Caenorhabditis elegans: one gene and its partners. The protein of the gene in region 3 interacts with the protein of the main gene of each other region in a pairwise test. Each region holds a gene or a part of one and is shown on either strand. Other genes may lie near its edges. The genes, in order: spd-5, sys-1, rsa-2 and rsa-1.

Region 1 (8,099 bases), on a different chromosome or scaffold from region 3:
TCAGTGTTTCTATGCTTGAATCTGCCGAGAGGTTATATGGGCGCTCAATTGCAGGTTCCACTTCATCCGTATTGCCGATCGGTTCTTCTTTGGTAGTGGCAGGCGAAGTGAACTGACGAACGGAATGCCAATCGAAATCTGTGAAAACTCGTCCCTTTTTCCATTGGATAGCAAATGAGATCCGTTTCATCGAATAGGTTTTCTTTGCAGATGAACTTTTGAAAAGAGCAGAAAGTGAAAATAGTGCAGCTGTGAGAGGATTATACAATTCCCTGAAACAATTTTATATTTAGACAAGAAAAAAACCCATTTTATAACAACGATTCTTACCCATCTTGTGTCTCATCAAGACTTTCCGATTCCTTTGATGGGAAATAGTTTTGAATAAGCTCGAGATCAACAAGTCGTTCATCAACGGACATCGATGTTTCGAACATTTGTAGATGTTGAATTTGATCATTTGAAACTTTGAGAATATGAACTCTCATCCCGACGCTTTTTCCCGAAACTGCCAAATCACATCCAACAATCAGAAGAATATCCACATCGAATGAATAAGCTCTGATAGAATATACAGTTTCAGTTGGTTCCATTGGAGACTTTTCTTCCTCGAAGTCTGCAGATTCTAGATCTCGATTCAAAGATTTTCCGTCTGAAGCAAAGTAGTTATTCAAGTCAATAGTGCTTGGCAATTGTTTTTTCGTCTCAACATTCCATGCTTGCACCCATCCGTCTCTGGTAACAGCGAACACAATATCGGATTGGACTGAAATTTTTCGCTCTCTCGTGACTCCAGAAGTCGGGCGAAGATTCTTCATAACACATGCATCACTGACTCGTTTATCAGTGCCACCTAGAAGTTTTCCCAGAAGACCAACTTCTCCCATTGTGAATTCTTCGTGTTTATCACTGGATTCCGTGTATGATCCCAATGTGACAATGACCAACTGCCCTTCAGCGGTACAGTAAGAAATCTGAATTCAAAATTCGAAATATAGGTTGTAATCAATTTCCATTTTTATACCGTATTTCTTGAAGGATGATGTGTAACACTTGCACGAATCGGGCGCCCTGGTGTTGAAAGGGAGTGAGATGTTCTGAATCGGCGGAAATCGTCATCTTCTTTAATTCTTGCAAGAATTGAGAACGTCTGAAAATAATTATTCTCATTCGATTATGGAAATTTTTGAGAACAAACATCATGGCCTTTGGAGTGGAGTCTCGCGTAGAAACGATGAATTGCAGAAGCTGTGGGAACGACAATACATAAAACCCCTTCCTCGAAAATTGTTATCGATGTTCCAGGAATAATAGGTGTGCGTGTGAAGTCAATGCACAACGATCCATCCGTGATTGAGTAGAGCAAAGAACGCTCCTCAATGAACAGTTTCTGGCCAATCGCACGCCACAGGAAAATCCGATCGCCGTAATTTGAGCAGTGCGGAAATGTTGCAACTCCTGCGGACGGTTGCACATCAAATCCATTCGAATGAAGCGGCGCATCTAAAAAAGTGAAATTTGTTGTAGAAACAATTATTTAATGAAATTGAAACTTACTGGTGTTTACCACAAAAGTTCTAGCCGGCTTTATAGCAAATCCATCCGTGAAGCTGATTTCCGACCCGTAAACCAGCTCCATCTGAAATTAAGCATAAAACACGATGTTAAAGCAAAAGAGAAATATGGAGATGAAATAAACACGTTCAAAAATATTTAAATATCGTTAAAAACAATTTTTCATTGGCGTGAACTTGTTTTACTTGTTTTTTATACGTTTTTTTATACGTGAAAAAATGGAAGAAAACAATTCACTTTAAATTTTAATCACTTATCGAGAAGGTTCTCATTGGATTCAAAGAAAAACTTGTTAGAAATTTGTGAGTTTTTACAATAAGCTTCATATTTTGACACTTTGCGATGTAAAATTTTACAAAACAATGATGAATTGAGCCGAAAACGCCTCCATATGGAGCTCCATTCGAATTCAAAAATAAGGGGCGTGGCTGCATGAGCAATACCGCCGCATGGTATTTCGCAACATGCGCACACTTTTTCTCTGTCAAGAAAAACGAGGCCCCACGAAAAGGGGATCTGCAAAAAGGGGATCTGCGAAAAGGGGAGATACGAAAAGGGGAGATACGAAAAGGGGAGCAACGAAAAGGGGATCTGGCACTGTGCCAAACGCTATTTTTCTCGAAGAAAACGATACAACGATTGTCGCGAATACGCAGAATACTGAGTCATCAACAATGACAAAGCCGGGAAACTCCTGTTTGAAAGCCGCGCCAAAAGACACACACGTCACGCGTGTTACAGTACTACCACACATGCACATCAAACCCCAACACGTCGACACCACGCAAGGAAATCGTCACTTCTTCGTTTTACTCTTGGACCGGCAGGTCGCATGTTAAATATATGAGCTTTCTCATTTTTATCATTTAACGGATTTATCAGTAATAAATTATATAATTCTACCACTTTTGAACCTATACCGATCCGAAACATGGTGCATCGGCTCCGATGTTACGCGTCGCGTGTTGTTAAGCGTATCTTCTAGAAGAAAATTTCAAAAATCAACGTGCGTTGCGTGAGAAAAATTGCGTTTTGTGCGTTTGGCACAGTGCCAGCTCCCCTTTTCGTTGCTCCCCTTTTCGTATCTCCCCTTTTTGCAGATCCCCTTTTCGTTCTGCTCCCCTTTTCGTGGGGCCTCAGAAAAACGCGCGCCTAAACGTGAATTTTGAATTTTCTCCGCGTCCGCGAAATTCTTACGTTTCCATAGTAACAAAAGTTGGTCCGCACTTGTTTTTCATGATTATGCACGCCCAAAGAACGGTGCTGAAGCTTCAAATTTTGCAACCTCCTGTTCATTTTGACTCAAAACTCTTAATCCCAAAAAAACGCTCAATTTTGTTTTCGAACCCGTTTCTTGTTTCAGAAAACTTCGCGTTAAATGGAGGATAATTCTGTGCTCAACGAGGACTCCAATCTCGAGCATGTCGAGGGTAATTATAACATTTAAAATCAATAACTGCATAAATGCAAAGGTTTTTTAGGCCAGCCACGAAGATCTATGTCGCAACCAGTTCTGAATGTTGAAGGAGACAAAAGAACGTCTTCGACCAGTGCCACTCAACAGCAAGTATTGTCAGGAGCATTTTCGTCTGCTGATGTTCGTAGCATCCCCATCATCCAAACATGGGAAGAAAACAAAGCGCTTAAAACAAAAATAACTATCCTGAGAGTAAGTAATTTATCATATGCTTATTTAGAAATGATTTGAGTTTGTAGGGAGAACTGCAAATGTATCAGCGCCGGTATAGTGAGGCAAAGGAAGCGTCGCAGAAGAGAGTTAAGGAAGTTATGGACGATTATGTCGATCTCAAATTAGGCCAAGAAAATGTTCAAGAGAAAATGGAGCAATACAAACTGATGGAAGAGGATTTGCTAGCAATGCAATCGAGAATTGAAACTTCCGAAGACAATTTTGCCAGACAGATGAAAGAATTTGAGGCACAAAAGCATGCAATGGAGGAAAGAATCAAGGAACTGGAATTGTCCGCTACTGATGCAAACAACACAACTGTCGGATCTTTTCGTGGAACTCTTGATGACATTCTGAAGAAAAACGATCCAGATTTCACATTAACCTCTGGTTATGAAGAAAGAAAGATCAACGACCTGGAGGCAAAGCTCCTCTCTGAGATCGACAAGGTAGCTGAGCTGGAAGATCACATTCAGCAGCTCCGTCAAGAACTTGACGACCAATCTGCAAGGCTTGCCGATTCAGAAAATGTTCGCGCTCAGCTTGAAGCGGCCACTGGACAAGGAATCCTCGGAGCTGCTGGAAACGCTATGGTTCCAAATTCAACGTTCATGATCGGGAACGGTCGTGAATCACAGACGCGAGACCAGCTCAATTACATTGATGATCTTGAAACGAAGTTAGCTGATGCGAAGAAGGAAAATGATAAGGCTCGTCAGGCACTCGTTGAATACATGAACAAGTGTAGCAAGCTTGAGCACGAGATTCGAACCATGGTTAAAAATTCGACATTTGATTCTTCTTCCATGTTGCTTGGTGGTCAGACATCCGACGAGCTTAAAATCCAAATAGGAAAGGTGAACGGTGAATTGAATGTGTTGAGAGCTGAAAATCGAGAACTCCGCATTCGTTGTGATCAATTGACCGGAGGCGATGGAAATCTTAGCATTTCACTGGGACAAAGTCGACTGATGGCTGGTATTGCGACTAATGATGTCGATAGCATTGGACAAGGAAATGAGACTGGCGGAACATCGATGCGCATTCTTCCCAGAGAAAGTCAATTAGATGATCTTGAAGAAAGCAAATTGCCGCTCATGGATACATCATCTGCTGTTCGAAATGTAAGTGTATGAAAATTATTATTTAAAATAAAGTCTTGAATATTTAGCAGCAACAATTTGCCTCCATGTGGGAAGATTTCGAGTCAGTGAAAGACAGCCTGCAGAACAACCATAATGACACCCTTGAAGGTAGTAAAATTGATTCCTAGATTTTTTGAAATTGATTATTGTTAGGTTCCTTCAATTCGTCAATGCCACCACCTGGTAGAGATGCAACTCAATCGTTCCTCAGTCAGAAGTCTTTCAAGAATTCTCCGATTGTAATGCAGAAACCAAAATCACTTCATCTTCACCTGAAGAGCCATCAATCCGAGGGAGCTGGCGAACAAATACAGAATAATTCGTTTTCTACGAAGACTGCTTCTCCTCACGTGTCACAAAGTCACATTCCAATTCTGCACGATATGCAACAAATTCTGGATTCTTCTGCAATGTTCCTTGAAGGCCAGCATGATGTAGCTGTAAATGTTGAGCAAATGCAAGAGAAAATGTCCCAGATCAGAGAGGCTCTTGCTCGACTTTTCGAAAGACTTAAATCTTCTGCTGCTCTTTTTGAAGAGATTCTTGAAAGGGTATGAAAACTGTCAAGTTGTGAATCTGTAAATCTGAGTTTTTTGTAGATGGGATCCAGTGATCCAAATGCGGATAAGATCAAGAAAATGAAGCTCGCATTTGAAACAAGTATTAACGACAAGCTCAATGTATCTGCCATCTTGGAAGCAGCGGAGAAGGATCTTCATAATATGTCACTCAATTTCTCAATTCTCGAGAAGTCGATAGTTAGTCAGGCTGCGGAAGCTTCGAGAAGATTCACTATTGCACCCGATGCTGAAGGTAATATAAATTTTAGAGACGCTCATAAATCAATATTTTCCAGATGTCGCCTCATCTTCTCTTCTCAATGCCTCGTATAGTCCACTCTTCAAGTTTACAAGCAATTCAGACATAGTGGAAAAGCTTCAGAATGAGGTATCGGAGTTGAAAAATGAATTGGAGATGGCTCGTACACGAGATATGAGATCTCCATTGAACGGTTCGTCTGGAAGATTGTCGGATGTGCAGATCAACACCAATCGCATGTTTGAAGATCTCGAAGTATCTGAAGCAACGCTACAAAAGGCTAAAGAGGAAAATTCTACATTGAAAAGTCAATTTGCTGAACTCGAAGCCAATCTCCATCAAGTTAATTCTAAGCTTGGAGAAGTGCGATGCGAGCTCAATGAAGCGTTGGCTCGTGTGGATGGTGAACAGGAGACTCGTGTCAAAGCTGAAAATGCATTGGAAGAGGCTCGTCAGCTCATCAGTTCTCTAAAACATGAGGAAAATGAGCTCAAGAAAACCATTACTGATATGGGGATGCGATTGAATGAAGCAAAGAAGAGCGATGAATTCTTGAAAAGCGAGTTATCTACCGCGCTGGAGGAAGAAAAAAAATCCCAAAATCTAGCAGATGAGTTGAGTGAAGAATTGAATGGGTGGAGAATGAGAACAAAAGAGGCGGAAAATAAAGTTGAACATGCTTCATCCGAGAAATCTGAAATGCTTGAAAGAATTGTTCATTTGGAGACTGAGATGGAGAAGTTGTCGACTTCAGAAATTGCGGCCGACTATTGTTCTACGAAGATGACAGAAAGAAAGAAGGAAATTGAGTTGGCGAAGTATCGCGAAGATTTTGAGAATGCCGCTATTGTAGGATTGGAACGTATCAGTAAGGAGATATCTGAGCTAACCAAGAAGACTTTGAAAGCCAAGATTATCCCAAGGTATTATCAAACGTCGTGCTTGTTTTTTTTTATTTGAGAACATTTTCAGCAACATCTCATCGATTCAACTCGTTTGCGATGAACTCTGTCGTCGTCTTTCCAGGGAACGAGAGCAACAGCATGAATACGCGAAAGTTATGAGAGACGTCAATGAAAAAATTGAAAAGCTTCAATTAGAGAAAGATGCTCTCGAACATGAGCTGAAAATGATGAGCTCTAATAACGAGAATGTCCCACCAGTTGGAACATCGGTCAGTGGCATGCCTACTAAAACATCGAATCAAAAGTGTGCTCAACCTCGTAAGTCATACTTATGCACATCAGAAGTTGAATTTTCACCAATTCTCCAGATTACACGAGCCCTACTCGACAATTGCTCCACGAATCAACTATGGCTGTCGACGCAATTGTTCAGAAACTCAAGAAGACTCACAATATGTCAGGAATGGGTCCAGAGCTTAAGGAGACGATTGGCAACGTCATCAATGAATCCAGAGTTCTTCGCGATTTCCTCCATCAGAAGCTCATTCTATTCAAAGGAATCGATATGTCCAATTGGAAGAACGAGACCGTCGATCAACTGATCACAGATCTCGGACAATTGCATCAGGATAACTTGATGCTTGAGGAGCAAATCAAGAAGTACAAAAAGGAACTGAAACTGACAAAATCCGCCATCCCGGTATGAAATTCTTTTTCTATTGAAATCTATTTTGAAAAATATCATTTTCAGACACTTGGTGTCGAATTTCAAGACAGAATCAAAACGGAAATTGGCAAAATCGCAACTGATATGGGAGGAGCTGTGAAGGAAATTCGCAAAAAGTGAACTGATCTGTTAATGTATTAAAATGGAACCAGTTTTATCAACACTATCATCTCGACAAGATTAACTTGTAACGATTGTATTGTTTTCCCAGCCTAAAGATACACCTAATGCATCTATCAATGTACTTGTGAATTAAATGCTTCTTTTCTGGTAGTTGACTGCAATCCCATTACAGATAATAAAAGGAACAGATTAATTTAATGAAAAAACAGCGGACAATCTTACAATAATACAAACAGTTGAGATAAATAAGACAAATTTCGATGGAAGATTTATACAATGACATTGATCAGCTTTCCTCTTCATCCTCTTCGAAGATATTGTGAAGGTGATAAGCTTGACTTTCTGTAAAATTAAGGCGTTTTGTAAATTCAAGAAATTGTGAATACCTTACTTCTGTTTTTCAAGTCTTCCTTTTCGGTAATAGCCGACAAATTAAGGGAGAATGTGACATCGCTTGGATCTGCGTCTTCTCGTGATCGAATCGGAGTTGAACAATGACGTCCTGCACCAAGCTTACTTTCATCGAAAATCAACGGAGTCACTCCGCGTGACAGTGGATCATTTTCAGTGTTACCAGATGAACTTGTTGGCACATTTTCCTCTTCCTCGTCAACAGATTTCCGTTTTCGATTAGAATTCTCTTTCACGACTGGTGGCTCTGTTGACTGACCCCGACGACTACGACGCAAAGTGACGTTGGCCGAAATATTGACTTCCTTTTCCGGGGATTCTTCAAGAAAATAAATTATTTAAAACACATTTTTTCTTGTGTGAAAGCGTGGTCAATAAAATACAGCAAATTGAACAATGAAATCAGGAAAAATAACTTACTGTTGACAATTTTCGGCTTCTTCCATATTTTTCCATCAGCATCCACAGACTCTTCATCATCGTAATTTGGCGTTTTTCTACGACGAGCTGGAATAATTTTTGAATTCAGACGTTTTTTTTAGTATTGTTTATTGTTTTCGACGATTATGCATTGTAGTTTTTTTCAATCAAAAGTGAGCGAAAAGCCTGTCGTTAACTAACAAATTAATATAATTTTCTGTCGAAAAATAACACTCGGAATTGTATCTAGTTCACAAATGCCCAAAATTATCAGATTTTGCAAC
Region 2 (7,661 bases), on a different chromosome or scaffold from region 3:
GCTTAATGTATAGTTATTTTACGATCGATCATAACTTTTTAAAAATTACGATCATATTGAATATATTACTTGGAAGAAGAATTTTTGGTATGTAGTGTTTTTAATTTAGCTGTCAAAAAATTGATAATCTGCTAAGTATGTGAGCTTGCATTTAATAAAATTTTGTTTTCAACTTAGAATTCGTTTTAATTTTAATTTTCAGTGACGTCTGTAATCCTATAAACTAAGTCCCTCCTCCTACTTCTCCACAATCCAGGTGCACTATTTGATAACCCACTTGTAATTCTAGTACTACCTTATGGTCCCTTATGTCACATTGTTTGACAAAGTATATTTGTATAGGTTTCATGTGTATTGCTTGTTTTTTTGTACGGTTTTCTCAGAGAAATTATATTATTTTTTAACTCATAGTAATTAATTTTAGGCGAGATACCGAAAATTCGCAATGTCATCAGTTGCATCTATTTTTGCACCTGTTTTTCGAAATTTTTGAATCGTAGTGATATTTAGTAGAGCCAACTAATAAAACTCGTAGAACGACGTTGCCAGCTGTCCAATGACATTCGGTGTCCATTTCGTTGAAAACATTCAGTTTTCTTTCGAATTGATGATTGAAATCTTGTTTACACATTATTATTATTATTATACAACTCTGTTGACAATTCAACTTACACCCAATTACCATCTCAACTACTGAATAATTACACTTAAACCTATTCAATCACGGAGATACCATCTTCTAGAAGACTTCAGTTGGTGACAACCGTGGGAGGATAAGGTGCAATCCACGTGTCATGCTGCGAAACAATTAGTCTCTAATTAAGAAACTGTGCCCTTTTATTCCATGTTTTTTGTTCTAAATTAAATACAGTAGTTTGTTTCTTGCAAAAATCTACTAGTTTAAAGAGAGGAGGCGCGTTAATGCGCAAGGGTCTCGCCACGCGAAACCCATTTTGTGTATGCACCTTTAAGTTTACGGTAATTTCGTGTTCGCAGTTTCTTTTTTTCCGTGTTTCTTCTTGCACATTTCCATATTTAGCTAACAGAAGTTTTCGTATTTCAACAAAAATTTTAGAAATCTCATTTTGAAAATGAAACATGTCTTAAGCATTAACGATCACCAATAAAACATCAAGTTGTATGGGTTTCCAGGGAATTTTTCAATTTTTTCATTATTTCGAACAAAAAAATTGCATATTCGTTGATTGATATGTTCCTTATTCATTATGCCTATTAAATCAAATTATTCCAATCGAGAATTTGAATTCGTTTTTGAATATTTCTTTAAACATCTTTCCAGGCATGATGTATTACATAATAAAATAGAAAGTAGGTTGTTATTTAGGTTGGTAGGATAGTAGGCCACCACCAGCTCATCTCCTTCACCCATTTTTCACCCCGTACATCACCATTCTCTGCGTCTCATTCAATCACACACAACATCACTTACCAATCTGCGTCTCGTTATTCTTCCTACTATTTATTTGTCTGACCCTCGACAAGTGTCCCATACAGTCTGTCTACGGTTGCCTTCGTTCTCTCTCTCTTCTACATTCATCCGCATGCGTACACCCTCTCTGGTTAGACAGTGAGAGAGCACGTGTATAGTGCTCAAAAAGAGGAGAGTGCAGGCCGTGCGACGGTTGGAAAATGGTGGGTAACGAAAGAATTCAAATGTTGAGACGATTCTGCAGGAAAACGGCCCATTTTTTGATGTTTTCTCTTCCGTTTTCCCGCCTACTTTTAGTTTTTTATTCTTATTTTCCTATTTTTCATAATCCGCAATCATCATATCACCTTTAAAATATAAAAATCACATTTTGAATTATCGATTTTTCAGGCAGACTGTCATCTGGAAAACTGAGTGCACCGGACCTGAATGCATTCAACCGGAGAGCCTCAACGAGGGCCCGCCGGCCCATATCATCATCCGATGCCATATCATGTTGATCAGGTAAGCTTGAAAAACTTCAAAGAAGCGTTTTGCTTCAAAATATCCAAAATTGTCTTAAATTCAGAAAAATCACAAAAAAACAACGAAAAAAAGCGAAAAAGAATGAAAAGACAAGCTTCTAAAATTGCAATTTTCATCTTTTGCCATTTTGGGGGAAATTCAAACAGAGAATTCTGCCAAAATTGAAAATCGCGCTTTTAAAAGTTGAATTTTTCATCCTTTCTGCGATTTTTTTTTCAGTTTTCTTTGTAGTTTTTCGGAAATGAAGACTTAATTCTTATTTTCAGATTCCAACAACATCTCATCCTTCATGGCATCAAGCTCCCCATCCTGGCCTTCCAACACCTCCATATCATCCTCAACAACATCCTAACTATATCTCAATGCAACCTCCTCCTTCCCAACAGCAACAGATGACTCCTCAAGCATTGTCGACGCAACAACAGCAGCAGGTTCAACAACAACAGCAGAGGTGAGTACTATAAGAAAGATTATTATCTAAAGAGACACACCTCATATTGATTGGTGGCTGCGCCCCCCGTCCGTCCGTGGTGTGACAGGCGATATTAGAAAGTTGGGAGACGACGGAAGTGGGAGAGTAAAAACGAGGCTAACGAGCGTTTTCTTGATGGGTGGTGGTTGTACAAGAAAAATGACTGTTTTTTTTTTCGATTTCAATGCCAAATTTCTTTTCCGAGTGCTATTGACATTCGATTTTTAGATTAATTTTAAATGTTATCTGGTAAAAAGTAGATTTTTTGCCTAAATATCACGATAGTAGGTCTTGAAGCGATCAATTAAAAAAAAAGGTGCGCGCCTCTAAGGAGTACTGTAGTTTCCAAATCTTCGTAATTGAAGGATTTCTTTCAAAACTTCTTACACTCAAAATAATAAAACTGCGTGGCGTGTACTGCAGAAAACCTAATATTTAGGCCCCGCCTTTTAATCGTCCACTCACGGGGAAAAGACAAAAATAGGGGAGGGGGGGACAGCTCGCCACGCCAACAGTGAGAAAAATAGTGTGGTGCGCGGACCTCGAATGATGTCGGCGGCTGATATTGCCTGGGGTACCGCTTTTTGCGTTTTCCCCGTGAGTGGACGATTAAAAGGCGGGGCCTAAATATTAGGTTTTCTGCAGTACACGCCACGCAGTTTTATTATTTTGAGTGTAGGTTCTCATCTGTTTCTTTAAATTTGCACCTTTGAGGATTACTGTATTTTCGAACTTCCTTCGCTGCGGAATTTCATAGATTTTTCACACTTTTTTAATAAAATATATAATTATTCACTAAAAACCTAAAATAAAACAATAAAAACATATACATTCGTGAAAAAACCATGAAAAATCGATGGTAAATCTGCGTCAACGAACGTTTAAAATTACTGTACTCCTTAAAGGCGCACGCCTTTTTGCAACAAAAAATAACAACATTTTGCAGATTGGTTTTATAATTAATTTAATAAAATATGATATACCTAAAAACTTTCTATGTTTTATTTCAGGCAACTATACTCGTCACCGTCACCTTCACGAGGTCCAGCGGCTCCCGCACAGAATCAAAAATTTCGGACAGAACAATGGATCAACAATCAAGCATGGCCATATTCTCAATCTCCTGCTCCACCAGTTGCTCCATCAGTTATGTCATATCATCAAGGAGACGATCGAATGTCAATGCTCAGTGTGAATACAACCATGACAAATCAATTTCCCGATTCTCAGCGATGCTACTCATCAAATGGTTCAACATGTGAAAATGTGAATCCTGAAATGATGCAAATGAATATAACACAAGCGGCTGAACAAGCAATTAGGGTTTGTAATTGAAAAATCAATAATGAATCTTGATAAAGTTCAATTTCAGCTATGGTTTAATACACCAGATCCCATGCAAAGACTTCATATGGCAAAAACAATACGAACTTGGATACGACAAGATAAATTTGCACAAGTTGATCAGGCAAATATGCCGGTGAGTTTTCCAAAAATGTTGGAATTCTTTTTACAAAATCTGTAATTTTTTTCAGAACTGCGTACAACAAATCCTTAACATAATTTACGATGGTCTGAAACCTCAACCAGTTCAACTTCCAATTTCATATTATGTAAGTCTCAACACAAATTACAGATTTCAAATCATATTTTTTCAGGCTCAACTCTGGTATAATCTGTTGGATATTCTTCGAAGATTCACATTTCTACCCATTATTTCACCATATATTCATCAAGTTGTTCAAATGTTTTGTCCTCGAGAGAATGGTCCACAAGATTTTCGAGAATTGATTTGCAATTTGATTTCGTTAAATTGGCAAAAAGATCCTCACATGAAACACTGCGCAAATCAGGTGTTTCAAATTTTCAACTGTATCATAATGGGAGTGAAAAACGAGAAATTGAGAACAGAATTCGCTCAACATTTGAAATTCGAAAAACTCGTTGGCACTCTCTCCGAGTACTTTAATCCTCAAGTACACCCGGGAATGATAAATCCAGCAATTTTCATCATTTTTCGATTTATTATTAGCAAGGATACTCGATTGAAAGATTACTTCATATGGAACAATAATCCACATGATCAACCTCCTCCGCCAACAGGATTAATTATAAAATTGAATGCTGTAATGATCGGATCGTATCGATTGATTGCAGGCCAAAATCCTGAAACATTACCTCAAAATCCAGAATTGTAAGTTTAAAAATGAAAAATTCCTCCATCACTAACAAGTTATATTAATTTTCCAGAGCTCATCTTATCCAAGTTATAATCCGAACATTTGATCTTCTGGGTCTTCTCCTTCATGATTCCGATGCAATTGATGGATTCGTACGGTCTGATGGAGTTGGAGCAATTACTACTGTAGTACAGTATCCAAACAATGATTTGATAAGAGCTGGATGTAAGCTCTTACTTCAGGTCTCTGATGCAAAAGCCTTGGCGAAGACTCCATTGGAGAATATATTACCATTCGTAAGTTTTACGTTTAGAAAATCACTGGACTATTAGAAAATTATTTATGTGTTCTTTTACTTTAAAAAATTATACTAGATGCCCCAAACCTATCTAATTCCATAGTGATACTTCACTTTTGTAAGAAGTTTCATTATTAAATTCGGTCGTTTCAGGCTAGTTTTAGTCTATTCAAATTAAAAAAAAACTTCTCTCCCTTCAAATAAACTGTTTAAAACCGGAAATTTTCAGTTACTGAGACTCATCGAAATTCATCCGGATGATGAAGTTATCTATAGTGGAACAGGATTTCTGAGTAACGTAGTGGCTCATAAACAACACGTAAAAGATATTGCTATACGATCCAATGCAATTTTCCTACTTCACACGATAATCTCAAAGTATCCACGACTAGATGAACTTACCGATGCTCCGAAAAGAAATCGAGTTTGTGAAATTATTTGCAATTGTCTGCGTACATTGAACAATTTCCTGATGATGTGGATTCCAACGCCCAATGGAGAAACGAAAACGGCTGGACCGAATGAAAAGCAGCAGGTCTGCAAATTCATCGAAATTGTACGTTTTGGAATTTGAAAAACGATATAAAAATGAATTAAATTATTTCAGGATATTCTGAAAAAACTGATGAGTTGTTTATCATGTGAAGGAATGGATACACCTGGTTTATTGGAACTTCGAAGTACAATTCTCCGATCTTTTATACTGTTACTCCGAACACCATTTGTTCCAAAAGACGGTGTTCTGAATGTTATTGATGAAAATCGGAAGGAAAATTTAATAGGACACATTTGTGCCGCCTATTCATGGGTTTTTCGTCAACCGAACAATACAAGAACTCAATCCACAAAGCAGCAACTTGTTGAACGTACCATAAGTTTATTGCTTGTGCTCATGGAGCAATGTGGAGCTGAAAAAGAGGTGGCACAGTACTCGTATTCAATTGATTGCCCATTAAATCTGCTGAACGGAAATCAAGTGAAACCAACGTTTATTCACAATGTGCTTGTTGTATGTGACAAGATTTTGGAGCACTGCCCGACGCGTGCGGATATTTGGACGATTGACAGGCCGATGTTGGAAGGACTGACGAATCATAGAAATTCAGATATAGGTATGTGTCTCGAAAATGTGTTCATAAATTAAATTACAATGCATTTTTTCAGCTAAAGCCGCGAATTCTCTGCTGAGTCGCTTCCCTGAAAACGACCTTCTTGCTGGTATTTTTTCAAATCGAGAATATTTCTGATTTAATGGATAAATCTGTCAACTCCATCTTTCATCCCAAAAATCCCCGTTCAAAGCCATTAATTCGTCTAGTTGGAAGCTGTTTTAGCGTGTACATAGTCGTATTATTGATTAAAATATGTTCTCTCTTCTTTTCTTCATTTTCTACCGGTCCCAAATTTCCTCATTCTTGACGATTTCATATGAATTCGAGTTTAGAACAAACAAAACGTTCCGATTTTCCTAATTTATAGCACATTTCTTCTCATTTTGCCCTCGGTTTATCTCTTTCTTTTTGTTGTTTCTTTGTTTACGTCTGTAGCATAATATTTTTGAATACAAAACATTTTCGCGATTATCTTTGCATTTTAACTATCAAATTCCTGTCTTATATACGTCTTTCTTCGATGTTCTTACGTTGAATAGAAAATAAAATTATAAAACTTTTTAAATGTTGGATTGATTTACTGAATACTCGGTTCATATATAAGTTATTTAGAGACTATTCTCGTTCTGTAAAATTAACCTGAAATTGTGGAATTGTGATTAAATAATAAATTATTATTTAAATCTCCGCGCAAATGCCCACTGGCGCAAGTGGCGAGTGCTGACGCATCTCCCGTGCACGCGAAACGCGCCAGTAAGGTCTTGCAACGATTTTCTTATGTTCCACTTCCACTTAAATTTATTTCAGCTAAATATTGACCCATTAGCTGTTTTTTGAATTGTTTTCAAAGGGAAAATCGTTTTATTCATTTTAAATTTTAAATAATATTGGAATTTCTGTCTAATTGTGTATCTACTGCTTGTTTGCTTCTTGTTTTGGGATTTCATAATGTCAATTTTGTTTCAGCAATGTCTCGCTTCTTCCATGCTAAGGAGGACTCTGATTCCGACACTTCGTCCAGCGAGGATGAGGTAGAGGATCAAAAAGTGAACAAAAGCGCGAAATTTCGGTAATTATAATCTCCAAAGTAATTCCAAAAGATTGATTAATCTTTCAGCGATGATCTCGATTTCATGGCCGGTCCTGAAGAAGATGAGAAGCGTGTTGTTCGTGCCCAAAAGGACAAAAAATTCGATGAGCTGAAAGGAATTATCAAGCAAAATCGAGATGCAAAGAGCAACAAAGATCTGAACAGACTTCTAACAGGTTTTGATTCTCTGGCCAAAGCTTATGATAAGTCCAAGACGGTCTTTCAACGTCAGAATGTCGCAAATCCAAGATTTTACATAAGGTGAGATATATTTTTAATTTACAGTCACATCATAAAATAAAATGCTAATGAAAACTTAGTAGTTGATATAAAATATTTCAGGTCTCTTGTGGAAATCGAAGACTACGTAAATAAATTATGGGATGATAAAGATGCTAAATCTGCTCTTTCGAAGAACAACGCAAAAGCTCTTCCACCTCTTCGTCAAAAACTGAAAAAATACATCAAGGATCAACAACTGCAAGATCTTGTTACCGATTATCGCGTTAATCCTGACGAGGATGGATATGAAAC
Region 3 (8,216 bases):
AAAGCCATGAAAAGTTCAACAATTGAAGGATCGAAATGAAGAGAAGTTGAGAAAAGGATGGAATCCGATGATGTTAGATTGAAGAGCGAACTGGAAAAGTATTATAAAATTAACGAAAAATCAATTATTGTTTTATCGATTTTTTTGGAATAAAAATCGATAATCGCTATCGATTTTCGGAGAGTTCCTCACCAAAAATGCTCAATATTCTTGCGAATACAGTCAACTGGAACTGCCACTTGTTTTTTAGCTCCAGTAGTCCCGCTAGTTTGAATTACGTAGCAAATGCTCTCCGCCGCTAAAAGTCCGTTCTCATCGTTTTGAGCGATCCTAGATACCTGAAATGTCAGATTATTGAATTTTTTGAGGATTTATTGATTTTTGTTAAATTATCGATTTTTTCACCACGTAGCACTAACATGTTTTCCGTTGAAAACCAGCGTCGTTCGAAACTTCCGCACCACGTCATCAGTATCGCTCGCCGGCGGGCAAAATGTGAACACAAGCTCAAGTCGGAGGCATCTGAAAAATCGATTTTTTCTGGCTGAGTGGGCGGATTGCCACCTACGCAATAACGGCAACAATCGCGTCGAGACCTCTTTCAATCGATATGAAAACCACGTCGGAGCCGGTGATCGCGCGGCAATTTGAATTCCTGAGAATTTCCGTGAAATTATCGATTTTCTCGAAAATATCCTCCGCCGGAATTGTCGCGTTGCAACCCACATCGATAATTTTCAAATTCCGATTGATTTCCGTCATTTTCTGTGAATGTTTTTTTTTGGGAATTTTTCGGCATATCGATTTTTCCAGTATATGTTCAGCGCTTTTTCGCCTTAAAAGTGTGTGTGAAAATAAAAATCAATAAATAAAATAGTTCATAAAATAGCTAGTAGAATAGTAGAGACCATGAATGATATTGCCGATAATAGTGATAAATAGGCGAAAAAAGTATTTAATTAAAAGCCTAAACATCGGTGACCGTCGCGTCGATTTCAGATTCCAGCACCATTTGTCCCAGCTTCTCCTTTTCCGTCGCATATACCTCGTTGGCTTCGTTGATCTGAGAGAAAAATGGTTGAAACTAACGAAAAATCGATTTTTGATTAAAAAAAAATTAGGCAACTTTTTTAAAGGGAGTGCACCCAGTGGGGAAATTGCTTTAGAACATGCCCATGGGGTCACAATGACCAAATATCATGATAAAAAAATTCGAAAAAATTTTCTAGATTTTATATGACTTTTTGAAAATTGGAAAAATCTCAGTTTTCCCCTAATTCCTTTTTAAATTTCCGCCAATTGGATTCGTTCGGTGGAGCACACTTGCATTATTTTTATTAATTTATTTTATTTTTCTCATTAATTCACTGATTTTCTTCATTTTTTGTGTATTTTTATCGGAAAGACAAAGAAAAATGCAAGATAATTGCAAATTGCTCATTAAAAAATCACTGAAAATGCGTAAAACTGTGAAACATGCTAATTTCAGGCTTGTTGTCGTCAGAACTCATAGTTTTAAAGCTTTACCCGTTTTCAGTGATTTTTTAAACAAACAATTTGCATTTATCTTTATCTTTCCGATAAAAATACACCAAAAATGAAGAAAATCAGTGAAATAATGAGAAAAAAATAAAATAAATTAATAAAAATAATGCAAGTGCGCTCCACCGAATGAATCCAATTGGCGGAAATTCAAAAAGGAATTAGGCAAAAACGGAGATTTTTTCAATTTTCAAAAAATCATATAAAATCTAGAAATTTTTTTTGAATTTTTTATCATGATATTCCGTCATTGTGGTACCATAGGCATGCTTTAAAGCAATTTCCCCACTGGGAGCACTCCACCTTGAAACAAAAAAGCTATATTTTCTTTAAAAAAATTGAATTTTCCCGCCAAAATTTTTCACCGAAATTTTGAATTTTCGTCGCTTTTTTTTCCGATTTTTGTATAGATTTTGTGAGATTTTGTGAGATTTTTCACATTTTCACGTTCCGTACCAAATTCTTATTCGCATAACGTGCGGCGATAACTGTCATCTGCACTTGTTGCCATTGATATTTTTGTTTTTCGGCGTCCGGTAGACCTCGGCGTACATCATATCGATAATCCAACTCCATTGGCATCATTCCTTCAAGTTTCTTGCTCATTTTCACATCGGTGCACCATTCCGATTTTCTCGATTCGGGTCCGTGCTCGGTTTGGAGCATTTTCAACGCCTCCGCTTCAAACGCGATTTCCTCATTTTCAGTCATTTTTCGGCCAAATTTCAGGTAGTTTTTATTGATTAAATCCACCACCGCACTCCAAATAAGTATGGAAAACGAGTCGAAATACTCGAAATTGTCGTCGAACTCCATTTGAACATCTTTAAATGAGGGTGGCTGCCAAACATCTTGCGCTGTAAGCCAGTCGACTCCGCGGAGCTCGTCCTGAAGCTCAATTGCCTTTTGAACCATTATTGGGCTCTGAAAAAGTGCGAAATTAAACATTTAGATGTAATAAGAGAAAACAAAAAAGAATGGGCCGAACCGGGGATTGAACCCGGGACCTCTCGCACCCAAAGCGAGAATCATACCACTAGACCATTCGGCCACGGTTTCCCAAGCTTCTTGGGTGTGTAGACATTTCTGTTGAACAAATTCCGCAGAAATTGACACATGGTGCATCATGTCTTTGCCTCCTGGGAAGCAAAGTTTCGCGGCCGAATGGTCTAGTGGTATGATTCTCGCTTTGGGTGCGAGAGGTCCCGGGTTCAATCCCCGGTTCGGCCCATTCTTTTTTACACACTTACAATCTCTTTCAAGAACTCTCGCTGACAATATTCCTCCATATCCATTCCAGCAAACGTCGTTTCATCGGCTTCCGCCGGCACTCTTGGTGTATCTGTCACTGCTGCCGACGCCGCCGCCGGCGGCAAATTGTCAAAAATCGATTTAAGCCGCGGTGCCGGCGAGTTGTCAAGCAAGAATCCCGAATCGTCAGCGCTATCATTATTGCCACGTGGCTCCAGCTCTTCCTCCAGGCTCTGTTCGAATTCATCGTGATTCACAAAGCGTTTCGTCTCGTCTTGCTCGTCCTCCGGATCTATGATTAGGCCCAGTTTTTCGGGCTCTTTGTGCTCCTCAATTTCATGCTCAAATTGTGTAGCATTCGGGTCCTCCGATCCACCGGATGAGTCTTCTCCGTTGTCTGAAGCGACTAGAGTTTCCGGGGATTTGGAATCAGAATGCTCGGAAACCACTTCCTCCAGATTCTCTGATTCTGTAGTGACTGATACCTCAGACACCACGGGAATCTCCAATTCCATGGATTCAGATTCAGATTCCTGAGCTTCCATCGATTCTCTCTCCTTCTTAACTTGCTCCAAATAGTGCGAAAGTCCTGCAGAAAGTCGCCGCGCCGATTCTGAATCCAGAGAAACTCGGCCACTACGTGGCGTCGTCTCTTCCACAGTGGACGGGAAGCTTATATCAGTCTTCAGACGGGAAAATGGCTCGGCGACAGTCTCCAGGCTCTCATTGTGCAGTGAAATGCTATTGAGCATACTATCAAACTCGGCAATCGTCGACACGGGCGCCGTCATCGAAAGTGTCACTGGTGGCCGCTGAGGTTCGGCGGAAACTTCGGCCAGCACCGGTTCAACCACAGGCGGTGTAGTCTGCGAGGACGAGTTGTGTTTCTCCAACAATTGTGAAAGATCCAACGGTTCAACACCAATTCTTCGGGGACTCGTCTGAGTCATTGCAGACTCGGCGAGCCGTGACGTCATTTGTGTCGATGCTTCTCTCATTGAAGGGGGCGGGGCTGCGTCCGACGATGATTGTTGGTTCAGTTGTGATGATGGATTGATCTACAAAAATCAGATTTTTTGAGATTTCTTGAAAAGATCCGCCTATTTTTATGAAATTAGCCAATAAAGGGGCGGGGTTTCATCCGCCTATTTTAAGCGATTTGAAATTCTCTTAAAATAGGCGGATTTTTAAAAGAAATTTGCCAAAAAACGGCTTAATTTACCTTAACAGCTATGCTCTTTCGACTCGTGTTAAGTGATCGATTGAGACTTTTGCTGTTTCTGTGCAACGTGGCGACATTTCGAAAATGGTCGATTGTGATCTTCATTTTTCGCGCCAATTCCAGCATTTCACGGGCGGTTTGAATGTCGAATTCGCGAAACGGCAACGCCATCCAGTTGTCGATGGAGCGCAAAAGCCGCTGATTGTACGGATCGCCGGAGAATGGTTGGCTGTAAACAAAAACCTTAAGAAGCCAAGATATGGGCGCGGAGCCTAAAGAGCAAAAAAATCAAATTTTTTCTTGGAATTTCTACCTTGAAACGAGTTGATGTATAGCCAATTGTGCTTGAGTAAGCTTATCAATTCGATCCTTTAATTCCTGAATGACCGCCCGTTTTTTTGCGTTCTGCGTCTCCACTTCTATGAGTTTCCGTACAGCCTCTGCTTCATTTCGTCGTTTTTTTGCCTCTTCAGCAATTATTGGTGATCTATTAGCGGCCGCGAGATTCTGTAAGAACTTTGGCGACGGTTATGTAGATCAAACATCCGATTTTACGCGCAAATTCAAATTTCAGCAAATTTTTGGTAGGAAATATTAATTTTTAATTGTAAGTGTGTGTTTTTATTTTATTTTTTTAGAATTTTAAAGTCTTTCGGTGTAAAAATTCAATTTTCTGTCGATCACATGCTGCAACTGCGCTCTGGTGCTAATTTATCATTGGAGCGCATTTACAGTAAGTTTCAGCTCAAAATTGACAGAAAAACGTGATTTCTGCTCAAAAATCTGGGAATTGAGTGAAAAATTAAAATTTCCCGCCGATCGCATGTTGCAACTGCGCTCCAATGTCAAATTCGCATCAGAGCGCACTTGCATTATGCGATCGGTGGGAAATGTGAATTTATACAGATGTTTTTTTCATTTTTTGACAATTTCGAGCGAAAAATATGGATTTTTAATTCAAAATTGGCGAAAAAAATCCAATTTTTCGGCGGAAACCCCCAGGAAAAATCGGGTTTTACTGATTTTTTCGAGAAATTTTCCAATTCCTGTACCTTGATGCTCTCCAGCTTTGTCATTTGACGTTCAACACCAACAACAACTCGATCCGAATACTGTAGCTGAATTTGATGCGTCGCGACGAGGGTATCAACATATGAGGTGCGACGAATCGGTGTTTCCGTGGTTTTTTTCACCAAAGGCGACTCAATACGTGGCACACGCGGCTTCAAAGTGTCAATCGGTGGCGGTTGGGATGAGCTACGTGTCACTTTGGCTCTGGGCTCCAGCTGCTCCGAGCTCTCCTGAATCGTCTGCTGACGGGCTTCATGGGGTGAGTGGCCGGAGATCATGAGCTCCTGCATTCTTGAAAAGTTTTCCTCCATTTTCCGGCTCAGACAAGACGTGTATTGCTCTGATAACGGGGTTCTTGGCACTGAAAATTATGAAAATTAGGTTTTTTTTTGAAAGAAATTCAAAAAATTACAATATCTTGGCGGTTTTGAAGACACCGGCGTCGCATCACTGCTACGTGGCTTTTGTGACTTTTTCGACGTGGATGGAGTGACAAATTCGTCATCGGCGGGCTCCGGTGTGAAGTATTGATCGCTGGACGGGGAGGCTTCTGGGGTTGCGGAGTTGCGGCGGCGGGCGATTCGTAGATCACGAGCTTTATCTTTAAGCCGACGATCTTCGTCGTAACGTTCGTAGTCTTCTCGTGTTGGTTGGGGGTTTGCTGGAAATTTAAAAAATTTTTTAAATTAACAAAAAAATTTCAAAAAAACCATTTTTCCTCATTTTTCCCCAATTTTTTCCCAAAGAAAACCTACCCATTGATACAAAAACCGGCTTCTCGCCTTCCTCCATGTTTTCCTTGTTTCTGAAACTCAGAAAATAAATAAATGGTTGCCATGGGGAATTTCCCCCTGCTTACCTTATTTTTTCGTGGTGATCGCGATATTTCGGCTCGAGGAGCACACTTTTCGCGGGTTTTTCGTCGTTTTTTGCGAGCCACGACTTGAAACTGCCCTTAAATACAGGAATTTTCGACATTACGCGGGGAAAATAGTGCGAAAAATTGATTTCGCGTTTGAATTAAAGAATATTTTCGCGGCGACGCCAGTGTGTGCAAACACCGTCACGCGAAAATGCAGACGGCGAGAGAGTGTGGGGAGACGAGGAGACGCAGGGTTTTCTTTGCTGTTTCTTTGTTGATTAATTGCAGATTTTACAGGATTCTCGGGTCAAAAATAGCGGAAAAGTGGGAAAAAAAACTTGAAAACCCTTAAAAATCAGTATAAAATTGATAAATTATTAAATATACAGCTTCTAAACAGTTTCAAGTCAAAAATCAGATTTTTCAAACTAAAAATGATTTTTACCATTTTTGAAACCAATTATTATTATTAATTACCCAAATTCGATAAAAACTCGCTCGAAAACCGAGATTCCTACATTTCGCAAAAATTTCAGTTCCGAAAAATGCGCGCGTCACGCTTGCAACCGGTAGGACATGCCCACTTTTCCGTGCGCGGTCTGCAATTTTTATCCGATTTCAAAATTTTCTGTAATTTCCAGACAAAGAAACGTCCACTTTTATTATTCCAAAGCGGAAAATCATATAAACGGGGGCTTTTTCTAAACAAACAGACAATTTGGGGGCGGTGGGGCGGAGTCAACACGAAAATTTTAAGTAAAGAAAAAATTGGGATTGAAAATAATAATAATATGAATATTGAAGTCGAAATGTGTGCAGGAAAGGGGCGGAGTATAATTTAACGGGGAAAAATTGTAGAAAACGGGGGGCGGAGAAAGGCAATGAAATGGGCGGTGCTTAAAAACGGGGGCGGGGCTTATGTGTGTGAGACATCACAAAGATATTTAAAAATCGGGAGAGATATGAAAATTGTGACTTAAACAGAGAACGGGGGACCCGATATATATATATTTCATTTTCAACATTTTGAAAATGAATTTGTTGAAATTTTGGGAAATTTTTGAAAAAAAATCACATTTTTTGAAATTTTCAGGAAAAAAAGTTGGAAAATTTTAATAATTTTAGCTTGAAATTTTATTAGAATTGTTTGAAAATTCAGATTTTTGCAGATTATTCCCAAATTTTGGTTGAAAAATGGCTAAAAACTCAAAAATAAAATCTACCAAATTTCAGAATTTCTTAGAAAATAGTGGATGATCGTATGAAAATTTGTGAATTTTGGCTAAAAACTCGAAATTTTTGATAATTTCAGCTGAAAATGAACTAAAAAAAAAAAATGTAAAATCCGCAAAAATCTCAATTTTCTAACAAATTTTGCCTGAAAATTCGATTAAAATCGCCAAATTTTAAATTAAAAATTTCCGGGGGAAAAGGGGGAATATTTCACAAAATTGGGGAATTCTTGGGGGCAAAAAAATGGAAGAAAAAAAACTCGCAACATTTCGAAGAGGAACACATGATAACAGGGAAATTATACCAGAATTACGTAAGGAGAAGAGAGATTTTTTGTTTTTTGGAGAGAGAGTTGTTGTGTGGGGGAAAGATTTTCAGAATTGGATGGAAGGGGTCAAATTTGAATATTTTTGAATGAGGGGAAAGCAATGGGACAAAAAAAAAAGGCAAAAGTGAAGGAAGAACTAAAAATATTTCAATTCATATATAAAAATGATTGAGCGGTGATGATGATTATGATTGGAGAGAGGAATTATAATTAATAACAAACAAAAAAACAAAATCAACGATAGAATTCTCGATTGATTCATTAGACGTTTATTTCTTCTTTGGGACGAATGTGATGGGCTCTGAAACAAATTGGATTATTTTTGGGGTTTTAAGAGAATTTTTCAAGTTTTTGGGATTTTTAGGACAAATTTCCAATTTTTTCTGGTTCTGGACTTTTTGAAGATAATTTTTCGGTTTTTTTGGCATTTTTAAGATAAATTTTCAATTTTTTTTTGGACTTTTTGAAGATTTTAAAAAGGTTTTTTGGCATTTTTAAGAGAAATTTTTCGGTTTTTTGGAATTTTTTAAGAGAACTTTTCAAGTTTTTTTGGGATTTTTAGGATAAATTTCCAATTTTTTTGCCATTTTTTGGAATTTTAAGAGAACTTTTCAATTTTTTTTCGAAATTCGCAGAGATATTAAGGAAAATTTAGTTATTTTTTAGCGATTTTGCTAGCGATCGAAAATTTCTCATTTTTTCAGGAA
Region 4 (4,807 bases), on a different chromosome or scaffold from region 3:
ACACCAGAATACCACACAATTCTTCGCATTTACGAATCAGAGCTGCCAGAATTGTTAAATGTTTCACAAGTGATACTGCATGAAAATCGGGATGAAAATTCTGTTGAGCTCGTGGAAAGCCGGTTGCGATATTGTGAGAGATGCCGGAAGCACACTCGGAATGAAAGTGATGCTCTATGCGGAAGATGCTCAGATGCGATGGGACTTTCTCGTTAAATTAGATGATTTTTGTAGAACATTGTAATTTGATTTATTTTAGGAAAGTAAATGTTTTAATTTAGAGGCGCCACGTTTTCAAGATCTGTTCAAAAACAAGATTTACGAAAACAAGATCCACCAAAACAAGATCTACATTTTCAAGATCTACCAAAACAAGATCTACGTTTTCAAGATCTGGCACCGTGCCAACTGTGGTTTTCTCGAAGAAAACCAAACAACGATGCTCCGATGTTACGCGTCGCGTGTTGTTTAGCGTTCAAACGAATATTTTTTGAAATTTTCTTCTAGAATTTACGCTTAGCAACACGCGACGCGTAGAGAAAACCGCAGTTGGCACGGTGCCAGATCCTGAAAACGTAGATCTTGTTTTGGCGGATCTTGTTTTCGTAGATCTTGTTTTTGAACAGATCTTGAAAACGTGGTGCCTCTTAATTTATGTTTGCACATCAATTTCCCGAAACACCAACTTCTAGCAAGAAAAACTTGACGTCATGCTCGACTTGCTTCAAGCAAAAGAGGTCCTCAGATAGAAAACAGGATTTGATGTTGAAAATTTATTTTCCGATATAAATACATAACGTCTCAAAATTTATAAAGTGAGTGCAATGATTGTCAAACGTAAGGGGGATGGAACCCGGTGACAAATAATAAACGATTAGTTGTGGATGATTGTTTACATGATTAGATTGGTGTCAGAAGTACAGAAGGCTTCACTGCAACGCGTTGACGATGGTCGAATTGCGTTCACAAATGGAGTACAGCATATACGTGCACGGGTAGAAGTACGTGTATGATGCCGATTCCAGGGATGATGGTGATTTGTAGCTGGCAGCACAATTGGCGAGTGATGACCAACCGTTGAAGAGTGGCTTGTATGGTTTGATGAGCCAGTTGCTGAAAAAATTAAATTTAGAAGCAATCAATTGTTGTTGACAAAACCTACATTTTGGTTGGATTGAGAGCTCCTTCAGTCTGCCATCTTGGCAACTGCTCCAACTTCTCGTAATGGGTGAATCTGACAAGTCCGATCCACGAAAAGAAGGCTTCCTTGGCTTGAACACGAATTGCGTCCCACTCTTCAATCGAATTGGCCACGAACAGTGTTGACTGCTTCTCGAAGCAATTTCTCTCGGCCTTGGCGAATCCAAGAAGCTCCTTCTCGATCCAGTAGCACGAATCGGCGAACCGAAGCCATCCATCGGGACACTTCTCAGTCTGATTGACGAAGGCTGGCGGCTGTCGAGCTGGGAACGAGATGTCTTCGAATGCCGTTGTGCCGAGATCCTTGTAGTCCCAGTTGTAGAACGTCACTGAAATTTGTTACTTTTAACGAAAATTTAAAGATTTCAAAGAAACTTACGTCGTTGATGCGGCTGTTCGTCGTTTTGAACCAATGGTGATGTTTCTGGAGCTTCACCACTAGCTTCAGGAAGCTCGGTTGAAGAAGTCGGAGCTGCATGAACGAGGAATAGCCCAGGAAGGATGAAAGCAACGAGAAGGCAAAAACGCATGATGAGCAGTGAAGACTGAGGAAATGAACGTTTCGTTCTCCTTTTATGCACATTTTTGCCGCCGTTTCCTGAAATTTTCACAAATGCGCGCCGCTAATAGACAGAGATCAAATAATAATTTCAAAACAAATCAAGTCTAGAAATATCCTAAACTTCATTTCTGAACTGGTGTTATGAATTTGAAGCACGGATGATGGTTTAAATGTTCTGTAGCACACTGCAGATTTTCATTTATGAAAATATTTAACTTTTAAAAGGGCAAGATCTTGTTTTAAAAAATTGTAATTAATTTTGAAAATTATATTTTGAATAGCCGCCCTTGATATTAACAAAATATGCAGTGGAGCGCACTTAATGCGCCCATTTTCAACAGAAAATAACGCTCGAGATTCGAATTCAATTCTCTCCTCCCTTGCAATTTTCGTGTCACTATGCCAACCGACGAACCTTCGAAGCGAAAATCCATTTTACCAACGATTCCAACATCCCTGATGTTGAAGAAAAGTAACGAAGCATTGAGTGACTTCGAACGTGAGTTGGGTTCAGCGAAAATGTATTATTCAGCGGTATTATCTTTCAGGAACATTTAATGATCGAGTTATGGATATATTTGCCGAAAATCGAAGAATAGATGTAGAGGAGTTTAAAAAAAATGCCGAATGCTTTTTAAACATCATTCGATCGAACAAAATCGATTTAAATTGGGGTGAAGGGGGAGAAAGTAGATATGTGACGATAACTCGATTAATGGTAAGGTTCTCGGTGAATTCAATAATTAAGAATGTGCAATTATTCAGAAAATACTCAAAACTTCACCACAATCAATCAAAGATCTACTTCCACATAACACAGTGTCGAATTTCGTTAAAATAACCAATTATAATTTAACAATTGATATCACTCTTTTAGGTTTGTGCAAAGCAGGGAGTTCTTATTATAAAGAATTTGAATTTCAGAGGAGCTTGTACGAACAGTCATTCACGCTGAGGAGTCCTACATCAAACTTCTTCCATTTTCAGAAAATAGCACAGAGATTTCCAGTTATGTAAGTATCTTATTTCTACTCTAAAAGCTATTATCCTGACACTATTTTCAGAGTCTCCAAGACTTTGTGGCCACACATTTTATTCCAATTATGATTGAAGAACCGGAAAATCCTGTCTATTATACAGCTTACGCAGTTGGAACAATATTTTTCCTATTGGGTGCTCGACGGCGAGACTGTGTATATTTGAAGGATTTACTTGCTTCAACACTTCTACTACAACTCGAAGAGTGTATTCATGCAGAGAATCATTGCTTATCACCTCCGAAAATTGATGTGTATGATTTATCAGTGCCATAAATTGCTTCAAAAAGTCTTTTTTCAGATTCACCGTCGCTCAATTTCGAACCACTTTATCAGAATTCCGATTCCTTGACTCCCAACGAAAGGGATTGTTGGCGCCAGCGGACTTGAAATTTTTCAGAGAGTATGAAGAAATTATTTTTCAGTCTATAAATCCTATTTTTCAGCGGAATCTTCAATGAGGTTTTCACCAAGCGAATCTTCGAAATTTCAATAACCTATGAAGATGGACGTATTGATTTCAAAGCGTTCGTTGATTTTGTCACCGCTCTAAAGTTCCGTCATGTAAGCGATTTTTTAATCAGAACCAAAAAATTGTTCTAAAAAATAAATTTCCAGACCACTGCCTCCGCCAAATACCATTTCGAAATTCTGGATCTAAAGGATGATGGACTGTTGGATGAGGAAGAAATTCGATCAATAGTGAGTAAAACTCTCCAAGAACACTTTCTCATCGCTTAAAAGTCATCATTTCAGCTTCAAAACCTGCCAGATTACGTCCCGGAAGATAATAGTGTGAACCCGGAAGTAGCAACTGCCGAACTGAGAGATATGATGCGTCTGAATCAGAATGGAATTACATTGGAAGAGTTTCTTGCTAATCGGATGAACTCGACGTTTGCTGGATTCCTCTCCAATTCCGATGATTACATGAAGTACGAACGACGCGAGCAATAGCAGTCCCGCTAATTTTATTTTTAAAACTATTCTAACCACTCATTTCGGCCTGCAAGGGTAATAAACAGCTTTTGGACCAAACATTTTATGGATGAGACAAGAGGGAGAAAAACGGAAACATAACAAGTTATATTTGAAGTAACAAAAGTATACAAAACATTTGTTTTGGATCAACTCAGGATTATAAATTTAAAGGGGAAACAAAAAGGAAAGCAACAGACAACAGATAAAAAACGAAGTGTAGACGGGGGTGAGAAACAATTTTGGAAACAAATTAACTTAAGGATAAAGTTAAGAAACTAATCGTCAGAGTCAGAGAACTTGATAGAATTAATAGATTGGTTGATTGGACCACCTCCGTAGCTTCCCTTCTTCTTCTTAGTTTTCTCATGACGGAATGCTTTTCCAACAACTTTTCCTAGGCTTTCATTGGCACGCTGTCCCCATTGATCGAAGTGCTGAAAATAAATCGAGTTAAACTTTGTTCGTAGTCGCTATATGTTTACCGAATCATGCTGGTTGTTTCTAAATTTTTCAGAAACGCTATCCTTTGTCATTTGCACGCGTCGGAATGGTGAAGACTTTCTTTTTCGGTTTTCATAGACCGCCTTTTCAGTCGAGGTAGCCAATGGTTTTGCCTTCAAAGCCGGTGTTCTTGAACTGCTCTCCTCGGTCTCGGCGGATTCTTCAGAGTCAGCACGTTGTGGTCTTGGAGTGACAGCCTTAGATGGTTTTGGAAGATCTTCGTCGTCATCAGAGGAATCAGAAGATTCAGCTTTCTTTAGTGCAGTCTTTGGAGTTGATTTTGCTGGTGTGGTGGCAGACTTCTTTTTCGTTTTCTCATCATCCGAAGAATCGTCTGACGATGAAGAGGCTTCTTTTTTCACAGCGGTTTTTGCAGGTGTTGACTTGGCTGGTGTCTTCTTAGCCGGTGCCTCGTCATCAGAAGAATCATCGGATGAATCAGCTTTTTTGGCAGATTGCTTAGGAGTAGCTTTTGGTGTTGGCTTGGCAGTCGGCTTCTTTTCATCGTCAGAAGAATCATCTGAAC

Evidence for each region.
Region 1: the proteins of rsa-2 (region 3) and spd-5 interact in a two-hybrid assay, tested with the Caenorhabditis elegans proteins (2 studies listed by BioGRID).
Region 2: the proteins of rsa-2 (region 3) and sys-1 interact in a two-hybrid assay, tested with the Caenorhabditis elegans proteins (one study listed by BioGRID).
Region 4: the proteins of rsa-2 (region 3) and rsa-1 interact in binary tests that used the Caenorhabditis elegans proteins (3 or more experiments, as listed by UniProt).

What each region holds. Positions count from the first base shown.
Region 1 is NC_003279.8:5,170,376-5,178,474, reverse strand, and holds spd-5 (Spindle-defective protein 5), read left to right. Parts: upstream 1-1,820; 5' UTR 1,821-1,877; intron 1,878-2,938; 5' UTR 2,939-2,953; coding exon 2,954-3,005; intron 3,006-3,056; coding exon 3,057-3,244; intron 3,245-3,291; coding exon 3,292-4,389; intron 4,390-4,436; coding exon 4,437-4,518; intron 4,519-4,563; coding exon 4,564-4,961; intron 4,962-5,009; coding exon 5,010-5,223; intron 5,224-5,266; coding exon 5,267-6,152; intron 6,153-6,201; coding exon 6,202-6,452; intron 6,453-6,502; coding exon 6,503-6,834; intron 6,835-6,885; coding exon 6,886-6,981; 3' UTR 6,982-7,173; downstream 7,174-8,099. Other genes in the region: npp-6 (NUP160 middle TPR domain-containing protein), read right to left, coding at 1-272, 331-974, 1,025-1,150, 1,199-1,503, 1,558-1,639; Condensin-2 complex subunit hcp-6, read right to left, coding at 7,174-7,326, 7,371-7,714, 7,816-7,902. UniProt on the Caenorhabditis elegans protein: Plays a central role in centrosome maturation and mitotic spindle assembly during the first division of the zygote. Required for the centrosomal localization of air-1 and zyg-9. Probably not required in late embryogenesis and during larval development.
Region 2 is NC_003279.8:9,979,005-9,986,665, reverse strand, and holds sys-1 (Beta-catenin homolog sys-1), read left to right. Parts: upstream 1-1,871; 5' UTR 1,872-1,879; coding exon 1,880-1,954; intron 1,955-2,241; coding exon 2,242-2,426; intron 2,427-3,457; coding exon 3,458-3,770; intron 3,771-3,808; coding exon of another isoform or gene 3,809-3,819; coding exon 3,820-3,927; intron 3,928-3,982; coding exon 3,983-4,060; intron 4,061-4,105; coding exon 4,106-4,641; intron 4,642-4,697; coding exon 4,698-4,923; intron 4,924-5,154; coding exon 5,155-5,481; intron 5,482-5,532; coding exon 5,533-6,037; intron 6,038-6,089; coding exon 6,090-6,172; 3' UTR 6,173-6,603; downstream 6,604-7,661. Other genes in the region: eif-3.C (Eukaryotic translation initiation factor 3 subunit C), read left to right, coding at 7,006-7,106, 7,155-7,388, 7,470-7,661. UniProt on the Caenorhabditis elegans protein: Transcription coregulator. Part of the Wnt signaling asymmetry pathway, probably acting downstream of putative frizzled ligand mom-2, Wnt/frizzled receptors lin-17 and mom-5, and dishevelled homolog dsh-2.
Region 3 is NC_003281.10:11,061,404-11,069,619, reverse strand, and holds rsa-2 (Regulator of spindle assembly protein 2), read right to left. Parts: upstream 6,142-8,216; 5' UTR 6,065-6,141; coding exon 5,946-6,064; intron 5,892-5,945; coding exon 5,842-5,891; intron 5,748-5,841; coding exon 5,499-5,747; intron 5,448-5,498; coding exon 5,068-5,447; intron 4,532-5,067; coding exon 4,329-4,531; intron 4,245-4,328; coding exon 4,016-4,244; intron 3,852-4,015; coding exon 2,793-3,851; intron 2,783-2,792; exon of another isoform or gene 2,695-2,782; intron 2,594-2,694; exon of another isoform or gene 2,522-2,593; intron 2,467-2,521; coding exon 1,999-2,466; intron 1,064-1,998; coding exon 968-1,063; 3' UTR 861-967; downstream 1-860. Other genes in the region: W09D6.1 (AMP-dependent synthetase/ligase domain-containing protein), read right to left, coding at 1-90, 193-338, 420-522, 569-762; spat-2 (Protein lilliputian), read right to left, coding at 7,779-7,810. UniProt on the Caenorhabditis elegans protein: Recruits rsa-1 and, thereby, phosphatase let-92/paa-1 complex to the centrosomes. Recruits sys-1/beta-catenin to mitotic centrosomes during the first embryonic cell divisions.
Region 4 is NC_003279.8:10,183,717-10,188,523, forward strand, and holds rsa-1 (Serine/threonine-protein phosphatase 2A regulatory subunit rsa-1), read left to right. Parts: upstream 1-2,139; 5' UTR 2,140-2,161; coding exon 2,162-2,261; intron 2,262-2,310; coding exon 2,311-2,480; intron 2,481-2,527; coding exon 2,528-2,639; intron 2,640-2,686; coding exon 2,687-2,775; intron 2,776-2,826; coding exon 2,827-3,053; intron 3,054-3,100; coding exon 3,101-3,202; intron 3,203-3,245; coding exon 3,246-3,363; intron 3,364-3,417; coding exon 3,418-3,501; intron 3,502-3,543; coding exon 3,544-3,756; 3' UTR 3,757-3,834; downstream 3,835-4,807. Other genes in the region: iars-2 (isoleucine--tRNA ligase), read left to right, coding at 1-216; clec-87 (C-type lectin domain-containing protein 87), read right to left, coding at 930-1,113, 1,163-1,529, 1,580-1,730; Nucleolar protein dao-5, read right to left, coding at 4,056-4,214, 4,263-4,807. UniProt on the Caenorhabditis elegans protein: Regulatory subunit of phosphatase let-92 which recruits let-92/paa-1 complex to the centrosomes, thereby regulating microtubule outgrowth from centrosomes and mitotic spindle assembly ensuring the stability of kinetochore microtubules.